Linked DNA regions of Caenorhabditis elegans. The protein of the gene in region 1 purifies or fractionates together with the protein of each later gene. This does not show direct contact. Each region holds a gene or a part of one and is shown in the gene's direction. Other genes may lie near its edges.

Region 1 (5,573 bases):
AGTGAAATGTTGGAAGGAAAAATTCAAAAGATGCTAACTGGCAAAAATAATTGTAAGAAAATATGGAAAACGAAAAGAAGTGCAGTGTCCCTTTGGGGGCAACAACAAAACAGATGGAAATGAATGGAGGTGTTTCAGATGGTGCCAGATGCGGGTTTAAACGCGTTTAAAATATGAAATCATGAAGTCTTTTTCAAAATTTAATTTTCTAGCAATATAGTGGCGTTATTTAAAGTAAAGCAAACTCATGCAAGTTAATATGAGGCAGTGCATGATAACTATTCCGTAAAATTGAGTCAGACAGCGTGCTAATTAGTAGTATGCATTATAATCCAAATTCAGAGCCGATGCACACAATCCAACAAAACTGAACTCATTTCACGAATTTTTATAACAAAGTATAACGATTTAGTCCCCACAAAACACTATAAATTGTTCAAATTGGGTAGAGAGTAAGACGTAACAGTGTATGTTTTGCCAAAAAACTAAACCTTGATTTGTAGTTTTCACACTGTAGTGATGAAGAATGAATCTTGGAAATATTATAAGAGAAAAATTATTGACGTGCACAGAATAAAAATCTGACGGTATATGAAACCAAAGCGATGAATCAATTTCAAATTCCCATGCCTCATTCCATTTACATATTGCATCCTTCTTCAATACACTGTTTCTCGCAACAAGACAAATTTCATATTGCAATGAAACAATAAACACTGTTCTGCTACAATCATACTTGTGATCCGATTTTTCTGATGAAAAGGTAGCAAAATGCTGCAGAAAATAGCAAAACACCAATATTTGGGCATGTCAAACTGAAAAATTACCAAACAGAGACATCTAGAAGTGTAGTAATTTTCACTGTCAAGTTTCGTTTTTAAAAATTGCCAGCTCGTAAATATGAGATTTAATATTGTCATTCAGGATGATTCTTCCACTTATTCCAACTAAATGTGTATTCCGAAGCTTCTATTCAATTTTTTCATATCACCAAGCGTCGCTTTTCAGGTTTCCACGTTTTACCAATTTCCAATTCTTTTCGAAATATTCATCAGTCAAACCTTAACTATTTCCAGCAACCTGGTTCAAAATAGCTTTTTCCTGTCCAAATCAGCTTTATCTACCCCCACTTCCGGCTGCACGTGTGGCCGAGGCGGTAGGACGGCCGCCTCTGGATCAAAGCTTTTTGATCCGACAAGTTCGATTCTCCATGAACGGCAAAGCATGCGGGCGAGATAGCAGAACTGGAGAATAGTCACAAAATGATAGAAAATTACTTGCAGTAAGAAAAAGACACGGGAGTGCTCACCGAGATGTCTTAATGAATTTGGAGAATGAAAAAGAGTTCGGTTGAAAAGAACTGTCTCTTAAATGGCACACTGCCGTGTTTCGGTGGTTTTAATAATACTCCCTCCCCGCATAAACCTAGATATGAGGGAGGAAGAGTCCATGAATGGCAAATCATGGCGAGCAGATAGTATGGACTTGTGAACATTCCAAACTATCTGAGCAAGATATCCAAGAATTGAAAGATGGTTGAAGCATATGGGTGTGAGAGCAGAACTGGAAGTTGTAGTATATCAAATAATCGAAAGATGGTGGAAGCATAAGGTGTAGTAGAGAAGAACTGGAAGTTGTGAAGATTTATTGGGATCAAAAGGATTGGAATTGAGCATGTCTTGGGAAACATGAGTTGGGAGACAAAAGGATTGGAATTGAGCTGGAATTGAACGGGCTAAGACAGAAAGGATTGGAATTGAGCTGGAATTGAACGGGCTAAGACAGAAAGGATTGGAATTGTACTGGTCAAAGAACTGAAATTGGGAAAGAAAGGATTGGAACTGACCTGGAATGAAACGGGTTGAGTCAAAAAGGATTGAAATTGAGCCTGTCGGAAAACATGAGTTGGAAAGAAAAGGATTGTAATTGATCTGGAATGAGTTGGAAAATCAAAGGATTGGAATTGATCTGGCATGAATTGGGAAAAAAATGATTGGAAATGAATTGAATTATGAGTATGAGCTGAAAAAGTGAAAGATTGAATTGGTATAGCTTAAAGCTAGATGGATAAATGATACTGGGTGGCAGTTCTGGAACATGAGACTTTTCTGATGTTCTACCTGCACTCACCCAATACCAAATTTAGTCCGTAAAAATAACTTATTTCAATTGGAAATATGAGTTTCCCGCGGATTTACATTTGTTGCTCTATCTGTCGCGAATAGCATGGAGCAGGATCTCCATTATTCACGACTCAATAATTATTCTATAATTATTGCATAATTATGTACTCTACAATGGACGCTAACAACACCGAGCATTTCTATCACCATCGCTCAAGGAACAACCAACAGTCAGTGCTAACAAAGAACAACCACGTGAACCATTTGCGACGTGAACCCCGGATGGATGCATACAAGGAACAAGATAATCTAACAACAACAACATTCACGCCATGACCTTGCCACGCCAATACGAACAACTCAACCTTGGACACGTGGACCACTTTGCCAACCTTGGAGGGACTTCCCGAATCAGTTCTTACTTTATGTTCTTGCGTTACTTGTCTATTAGTGTTACTAGTTGTCTATAATAAATCCTTGTAGAGTCACCAAGTGTACTGTTAGTTTAACTTATATAAAATACCACTGAACGCACTGCAAAACACTAGCATTTCATCTTTTACTTAATCTTCAAGCTCTTCTCACAACAATTCATTGTGATATATCAAAAATTTTCAGAAATACCAAATCTCTGCTCACTTGAAATCACGATGCCAGTCATTCACTTGTCAAGCGCTCGAAAGGGAAATGCTGAGTTCAAGTTTCCAAACACGCTCCATTTCCGTCAAACAGTCAAAGAAATGTTCGAGGAGTAAGTTTTCTGGACAAACGCTGAGTTACTGGGATTTTGTTTCAGAATCTACAAGCCGATTCTTGATGCCGTGAAGGTTCCCCTGCCTTCTGACGCAGTCGTTGGTAACCCGGACAAGTTTTCCCAGTATATTGATGCACTCAATCTGAAACTTGCGCATCCTGATGTGGTATGACATATGTTTGCATATGAATACTAAATAAATAATTTCAGCTTTCACGAGTCCCTGCAAAGCATCACGAGATCACGTCAACTAGATTATGTTCTTTGACAGTTGCGATCAAACTCGCTGAACTTGCGTATCGTTTCTCGGTGCCAGACGCCAACGTGCTCCGCCACTACGCTGTTGGAACGTCTACAGTAAGTTTCTCAGAGAAATTAAAATTTCTCAAAGAATTATTTTAAGGTGTACGGAGAGCTCCATTGTTCACAAATGGCCAGCTTTGTGGATCAACTCAACATGGGTCCTTCCGACTATTTCATGGATTTGGGAAGTGGAATCGGTCATTTGGTGAATTTTGTTGCTGCCTACGCAAGAACTCAGATGAGCGTCGGAGTTGAGCTCATGGATAATTTGGCAGAAATTGCCGAAAAGAACAAAGAGTTCAATGAGCGGTAAGTTGGGAATTGTTCATAATAATTTCCGATGTGATCAATTCGTTCGTTTTCAGACTCCTCAACCACTTCGGGAAGAAGGTTTACGCAACCCGGTTCATCCATGGCTCATTCACGAGTCCGGCCGTCATCCGAGAGATTCAAACCAAGGCCACCGTCATCCTCGCAAACAATGTGCGCTTCGATCCAGAGCTGAAGCTTCAGCTCAAAGAGATCCTCATGGGCTGCAAGGATCGAACTCGAATCATATCCTCGGAGCCGCTGGTCCCAAGTCGTGCTCGTCAAACGAATTCGCGTCGTGCCGATGGTAAGTTAAATACTTCAGAACTCTCTTTTATATGGGAAATATCAGTAATTAACTCCAACTTTTTTTAGATTTCGTCAAAATCTCGGATGAGTCTCTTCTCAATCTCGTTGACAACAATGTATCGTGGACAAGTAGAAAAGTGCCATTCTACTTGACTACAATCAATCGCAACAAGGTTAGTTTTTTTTACTGTGTTCGATTTTAGGGGTTTCTGGGTATTAAAGTTAAGTAAAATCTAAACTATTCATTTCAGTGATCAACGAGGCCTTCTACATTCATCACACCATCTGCTATCACGTGTCATTTAATAATGTTTTCGGTTATTTTTCAATTAGGATCTCCCCCTTCCCTCCTCCTCAATATGACCATCTATGTTGCCTCCTTTTTGTTTTTCGTTTGTTCTGATCCGGATACCAACCGTCTTCTCTTTGTACTATCAAACTTGTTGGTTTCATAAATTCGTTTCTTGTTTTAACCACATCGTTTTATGTCTAAACACCCTAAAGCGTTCTTCACTGTTCGTTAGTTATCTGTCGTCGTTGTCTTTGAACTGCTTCTTGTTGTGAGTCTCCGGTCTTTTGTGCATCGAAATCGTATGGTGTCAACCCGATAAAAAATTCAAGCATCTTTGTAGCATGGAGGAGCTTCTGAAATGTATGATTTATTAGATTTATTTTTTATTATGATCTACAAAAGTGTTCTACAAATATGTTTCGAAAAGACAAATAATGTTTTTGGTTTTTTTTTCGAAGAAATTGACTATATATGGTAATTTTGCACTAAAAAATTGACTGGATTTTTAAACCTACTATGTGGAAAAATAAAAAAAAATTGAACCTGACTACGCTACTTCGAAAGTCTCAGTAATTTTAAAGATATCAATAAAAATTAACTACAAAACTATAGAAGAAAACAAACATTTTGTATAATATTATAACAATTTTTGCATAACACAAACGACAACTGAGATATGAACTGTCAAAGTCGAATAATGGGTGCAATATTAATAGTGGAAATGCGGTTTTTGTTCGTTGAAACTAGGGTTCCCATGTCGGCGCCTCAAACGCCGATCTCGCGCAGCGAGCCGAAACGTTTATAGCGATGCGCGTGCACAAACGCGGAGCAACAAATAGTACCTTACCATATTGCATTATTTGGTGCAAACTGAACTTGGCTTTCCGTCCGACACTTTTTGGGTTCCGGGCATCGCTATAAAGATTTCGGATCGCGGCGTGAGAGCGGCGTGAGGGCTGCGTTTGCAGGGCCGACATGAAAACCCTAGTTGAAACTAAAATGTTTCAGGACTCATTTTTGAGGCATAATAGCATGCTACAGACAAATAACCTACCTACCTTCTGCTGATCAGGTTTCAACAAATGAAATGGTGTTGGTCTGTTGCTGTTGCCTTCTTGGAGCCATTCATTGCAAATTTTTAATCCAACTTTCAAGAGCATTTGTCGATCTTTTACTTCCTGTAGGACAAAAGATTCTCGTCGTGATAAACATGACATCAGTTTACAGTACATGTTACGAATTTCCTCCATGACTTTTTGAACTGGTTGTCGATCTACATCGCGGAGTGTTGCGTATTTTATCATTTCTTCTCTCTTGCTATTTTCCTCCTCAAAAAGTTTTCTTTCCTCTTCCCAAAGTTCAGCCATTATTTTTGCAATCAACCGCTAATCAACATTTTGCCATTTTCTTGCTGCCTGTTCAACTTGATCCCACTTTTTTTGTTTTTTAAAAATAATCTTTATGATTCATTAAACCATTCTTG
Region 2 (5,758 bases), on another chromosome or scaffold:
AGTATGCATGGGACCGTAGTAAATAATTATCAGTGAAACAACAAACCTCACAAAGCTCAATATCGCCTTCCAAATCCGATCCTCCACTTCCGGTCGTTAGTTTGAATGTGTGATCCGCCAAAGAGTCGACTTTGCCTGTAACATCTCGTCCAGCGCTGATCATTCTCTTGACAACAGCAATGAAAACAGCTTCTTTTCTGTCTTTCTCCCGTTCTTGGTTGACGCACATCTTTGTTGCCATACTCCTTTCTTCTAGCTCATAAACTCGTGAATCATGATCTATTTGATTTTTTTCATTACCCAACTTGATTTCATTGGTTCTCTGCGTTTCGTTCAAAACAATGGCGTTGTTCTCTTCCGCTGTCTTCAAGACTTTCAGTCCAAATTGTTTCTTCTCGTTATGACACTCCTCTTGAAATCGGGTGTTCTGAATTTAAAAATAGTCTTATATTATGAAATTTTTCGCATTTCCATATGTAGTACCACGTGGACATATGCGTTTTGGGAAGAAGCTATGTAGGTTCAACTCACCTCCTCTTTCCGCGCTTTGACGTTTGAAAATATGCTCTCCTCGATGCGATTTTTATTCTGCTCGGTCTGTTTCCGCATTTCTTGATCAATCTTCTCCCTTGTCATCATTTCCTTATTATCCGCATCTTTTTGGTTTCTCAATGCCTCATCTGATCTTTGCATTGCTTCGTAATATTCTTTTTGATGTGATTTGACGAGTTCATCCTCTCTCTTATTGTTCTCAATTTTTGTCTCATGTAACTGTTTCACGGCTTCCTGAACTTGAACAATTGATGATTTACCCAGACAATTGTTTTATTATTAATTCTTACTGATTTTGCACATATCTTACTTATAAAATCACCTGTCTTTCTCTATCTGCGCGTTCTTCCTCGGCTCTTCTCTGCGATAGTTCGGAGCTTCTCAAGTCACTCATACGCTCACGATAGTACGCTTCTTTTCGTTCCTGAGCCTCATATCGTCTTTTTCGCTCTTCATACTCCCGTTGTGCTTGTGCTTGTGCTTCCTGTTGAGCTTATGCTTCCCGTTTAGCTTTTGCTTCTCGTTGAGCTTGGATCTCCCGGTTTTTTTGTATTCTCCTATCCTGAAATAACTTGTTTGTTTTGAAAATAAAGAGGTAATCCCATACCTTATGCCCAGTGACAACATTGACCATATCCTCTAAGAAGCCCAGCATTCCGAAGCAATCTGAAACTGTAAAATAAAAACCGACATCGTGAAGCCTACAATTTTTTTCAATTTAACAAAACATGTTTGCACTACGATACTGTACGATTCCGGTAGGGCCGGTAGAACTTATAGTTTGCTAGTGGACTTCAGATAATGCATGAAAAGTGAACTTGTGTATTTTCAAATTAATAGTAAGTATCTATAATGCACACCTGAACTCAAATATATATGAAACGTTTAGGTGTTAGCAATATACGCGTATGAGAAAAGTTGATGCCTCTTCCTTATGACATGTGGCAACAATTTATACAGTTTCACTTATTATAAGGAATTCACGATTCTTCCTTCTTGAAAATGTCATCAAAATGTTTTCTTGCTAACCATAACTACAAGTATATACAACTGTTATCAATATTCGTTTATTTATGAAGTTTGATGTTTTCAGACAACTTTGAATCTGATAAAGCATTAAAAAAATCAACTACAGCAGCTTTAAACAAATGTTGGTGTTAGCAATGCGATGAAAAAGGATTTCTATTCCTTATGGCATGTGGCAACGACTTATACAGTTTCATTAATTATAAGGAATCCTCGATTATATTTTTTGGAATCTGTCATTGCAATATTTGTTCTTGCTAATTGCAACTTCAAATATAAACAACTCTTATCAATGTTCCATTTCATTTCAGTATTCCTTCGGTTTTCCACATTTACAAACTATCTAACATAATTTTATTATTAATTTTTTTGTGGTACAGAATTTTCAAAATTTAGGACGACCACTCTATAGGTGCAGAAAAAGAAAATGAGTGAAGCGGCCTATTATCGCGAACTGGAAGCTTCTGAACGACGGTTGAGCGAACTTCGGGCTGCTAATCGAGAAAGTGTTAAGTACGTTTCGCGTTGAGGTCCAAAATAACAGTTCTGCGAGTTTCAGAAGAGTGCAAGACAAAATAACCGACGAGAAAACGCAACATCAGGCACGTATCGCGGAAAAAGAGAGAAAGCATCGTGAAAACATGTTACGACAATGGAATTCTAGCGTTGCGGAGAGGAATGCCGCTGAGGAAATACATAGGAAATCGGTATGATTGGAGGTTGGATCTGAAGTTGTATAAAATTCATTTAAGCTTTTTTTGATGAGGTTGGTGTACAGCCTAGCTTTCTTTAAGACAATAGGCCCCTTCGTCACAAGTCTATAGGTTGACCTCTCGCCACCTTTACTTCGAAGAAAGATTTTTAGCAACTTCTTTAAGAAAAACGTACGATTTGAAGCTTGAATGTTGAATTTTTAGGTTGAAAAATTCAACGAAGAACACAAAACCTATATGGCAAAGTTAGAAAAGCAACTAGAGAAAATAAACGAGAAGGGAGAACAAGATGTTAAAGAAGTTGAACAGCAACGTGTAAAACTTGAAGAACAACGAACAGAAGACCTTGTCAAGCATCACGAATCGATGGCGAACCTCAGTGAGAAAAAATACAAAGAAATTGAAAAACAAAGAGTAGAGCAACATATGTTGAAAATGGAAGAGTTGAATGCAAAAAGGTAAGGAGTGTTACCTCATGAGGTGTGAAATTTATCCAGGAATGCTAACCATAAAGAATTTTGTTATTTTCACAACTTTTTTGATTGTTTCAAAAAATTTTTCGATGAATCGACAAACGACAATATCGGCAATCGCCGAAATTTGTATAATTTTTGTTTATTTCTCTCTTTTAACAGAAAATTGAACCAAAACTTATATTTTTCGGGATTTACGGAAAAGTAAGAAAGTTTTGGAACAAAGTTCCACAAAAATTTCAATTTTTACACTGCTAAACTATCGATTCAAGTGAGCTTCGTAACCTCACATTTAAAAAATTTTTAAAGTGTTAACATTTTTTTTCAGTAAACAAAATACGAGTCTTTACCAAATTCAAATGAAAAACATTAATGATTCACACAACATGCAATTAAGCATAGAAAAGAGTAATGCTAGTTTGGCTGTCATTCAACATTCAGAGAGTTGCATTGAAAGCTTTAATGTGATCTTGGGTCTATTGAAAGATATGAAAGAGTTGGTAAGCTTAACTGTGGAGTAGCGCCAGTGGGGATTTTGTTTAAGTAAATTTATAATAATTCAAAACAACCGAATATCATATTAAAACACTCCAAAATGTTTTAGCTTTTTTCATAATTTCCTGCCAAAGTTTTGGCAAGTTGCCAAAATTTTGAAAAATATGAACTTTTGAAGAAATCAAAAGAAAAATTATGAGTGGCAAAAACTGAGTGATTGTCACTTTTTGACACCAAAAAATTTTCAAAAATTGTTTGAATTTTTTTCGTGATATTCGGTCATCTTGGCACCATATGAGTAGTTTTCAAGCAATTTAGCCACTGGCGCTACTCTACCTTTAATAGTAATTGAGAATTAAATAATTCATACAATAATTTAGAGCGAGAACAAAGATCACTACCTTCCTGCTGACTTGAAAAAAATAAAGTATACTTCGGACGAAATTGAAAAGCACAAATCTAAATTGGAATTTCGAAATCAACAGCTCGAAAGTAGTAGGACTCTGGAAATCAATGCAGACCCACGAGTGATTGGCGGATCTTCGGTGAGTTTGCATATTCGAAATATAAAATTTCAAAAAAAAACCGTGATGCTGGTTTAGTTGCGGAAATCTGCGCTGGAGAAGTGAGAGTGAGGTGGTATTTCAAATATGGTGCACGGTCTGTGTGTAACTGATTAAAATCCATCTCCATTTCAGAAATTGGGTAAGACAATAGGAATTATAATTATTGCCCCCAATGTTGGACAAGAAATATATCCAACAGCCACAAAAATCTAAACATTTAACATTAAGGAAATGTCAATCAAAGTGAAGCGATGCATAGAGTCAAGTGGCTTTCGTTCAGTGTGTACTTTGCCCAGTCTTGCTGCACAACAGGATCTTGCTCGTATTAGTACAATTATGGACAAAATCGACAGTTTGACCAATAAGATGGATGCTATTAGTGAAGAAGTTCAGCGCAATACAATTCAATGGCAACAAGATGGAAATTCGTCTATGAAGGCTTTGACGCATACCAACGGGAGTTGATTGTATATAAATAATTGCTTTATTGTTATTTCATAAAAAGGAAATTCTATGAGCTCACTTTTATGTGCCTCTATCTATTATAAATAAAATTCATGATATTCTCCGGTATACTTCCTAGTTTTCTAGTTCATGGCGATGCGACTTGGGCTGCTTTGGCAGCAGCCTCCGCAGCACTATAGAAATACAGTATCAATAATATCCCGTGACAATTTTCATAAAACTGAATATAAATTGGCTTGATGTTCCTAAAGGGCTGCGAAGGGCTGCGAGTATGAGCGTTTTCCTGAGGGGATGGTATCAGCTCCCTCGTAGTCATCGCAGCTCTGAGCAGCCCAACTTCATCCTATTTATCAGTCCTTCAGCACCATCAACCCAATTTTTATTCAGTTTTATGATACTGTGTTGCTAAAGGGCTGCGGGGGGTTGCTGCCCAAACAGCCCTAGATGCGGCATCCATTCTGCAACCTGAGAAAACACTTAATTTTAGGGCACTAATCAAGTTAGAAAAAACAATGGAAAAAGTGATGGGGTGAAGTTATGTCATCTGCTTGCCATTTGCCAATCGGTCTGGCAAACGGCAAACCAATCGAAAAACAACGAGGGTTCAACAATTGACAGTTTTTTCAACACTAAAGTTAAAATCTTTGAAAAAAAAACTAGAAATTTTTCAAACTGCAAAAATTAAACATTTATTTCCTTACAACACAAAAAAAAGTTTTAAACGTTGAATGATGACTGCAATGAGTATCACGAAAAGATCAATGAACTTCAATTCAAGAGACTTTTCGAATTTTGTGCACTTTCGCAATCCTTCTTCCATTCATATAAAATCAGTTCCATATTTCTGATTTCAATGTCAGCATGTTTCTTTAGTTTAATGTTACGCAGCTTGCTGACTGCATAATTTAACATATTCATCCTATCCTTGAAAGCTTTGAAAGCCGTGATTGATTTGTCCAGCTCAGAGAATGTGCTCAAAAATGTGTTCAAACTATTTCGAACATCAACGATCTTGTTGAGAATCTGTTTTACCACATTTGTATTCGCACCGCCTTTCATACCATCATATCCTTTGAAATTCGACACTTTTTCTGATGCTTCTTCCAAATTATCCATTTTATTCTTTACAAGAGTCACGAGAATCTGAAGAAAACTGTGCAGAAATTGGAACTATTTAACTGTTACCTCGCGATTCCTTGTACTTATCGTTTGTTTATCATCATTGCTCAGGGATTTGTGAACCACCGTCACCGCTTTCGAGATTAAAGCCCAGATATGCTTCACGTGCTGGACAGTACTATTATATTTTTCTTCAAGAATATCATTTCTGACTGCTTTCGCCAGATCTCCTTGTTTCAGTTTCATCTTCAAGTCGATTTCTTCACATTTGGTCTGATGTATGAATTTCTGTTCTCGCATGCTCTTTTCCGCTTCCGACATTGATCGATTCAAATTTGATATAGTTTCT

What was found. Proteins that work in one complex are often made in the same cells at the same time.
Region 2: the proteins of dot-1.3 (region 1) and pals-8 fractionate together in Caenorhabditis elegans (co-fractionation; one large-scale study listed by BioGRID). This does not show direct contact.

The regions. Positions count from the first base shown.
Region 1 is NC_003284.9:12,300,018-12,305,590, reverse strand, and holds dot-1.3 (Histone-lysine N-methyltransferase, H3 lysine-79 specific), read left to right. Parts: upstream 1-2,735; 5' UTR 2,736-2,773; coding exon 2,774-2,874; intron 2,875-2,919; coding exon 2,920-3,043; intron 3,044-3,087; coding exon 3,088-3,234; intron 3,235-3,280; coding exon 3,281-3,489; intron 3,490-3,545; coding exon 3,546-3,796; intron 3,797-3,864; coding exon 3,865-3,971; intron 3,972-4,049; coding exon 4,050-4,052; 3' UTR 4,053-4,268; downstream 4,269-5,573. Other genes in the region: W06D11.5 (NR LBD domain-containing protein), read right to left, coding at 4,309-4,443, 5,149-5,457.
Region 2 is NC_003279.8:13,119,118-13,124,875, forward strand, and holds pals-8 (Protein containing ALS2cr12 (ALS2CR12) signature), read left to right. Parts: upstream 1-1,974; 5' UTR 1,975-2,005; coding exon 2,006-2,091; intron 2,092-2,137; coding exon 2,138-2,285; intron 2,286-2,495; coding exon 2,496-2,749; intron 2,750-3,092; coding exon 3,093-3,264; intron 3,265-3,639; coding exon 3,640-3,804; intron 3,805-4,053; coding exon 4,054-4,290; 3' UTR 4,291-4,396; downstream 4,397-5,758. Other genes in the region: pals-11 (Protein containing ALS2cr12 (ALS2CR12) signature), read right to left, coding at 5,059-5,433, 5,476-5,758.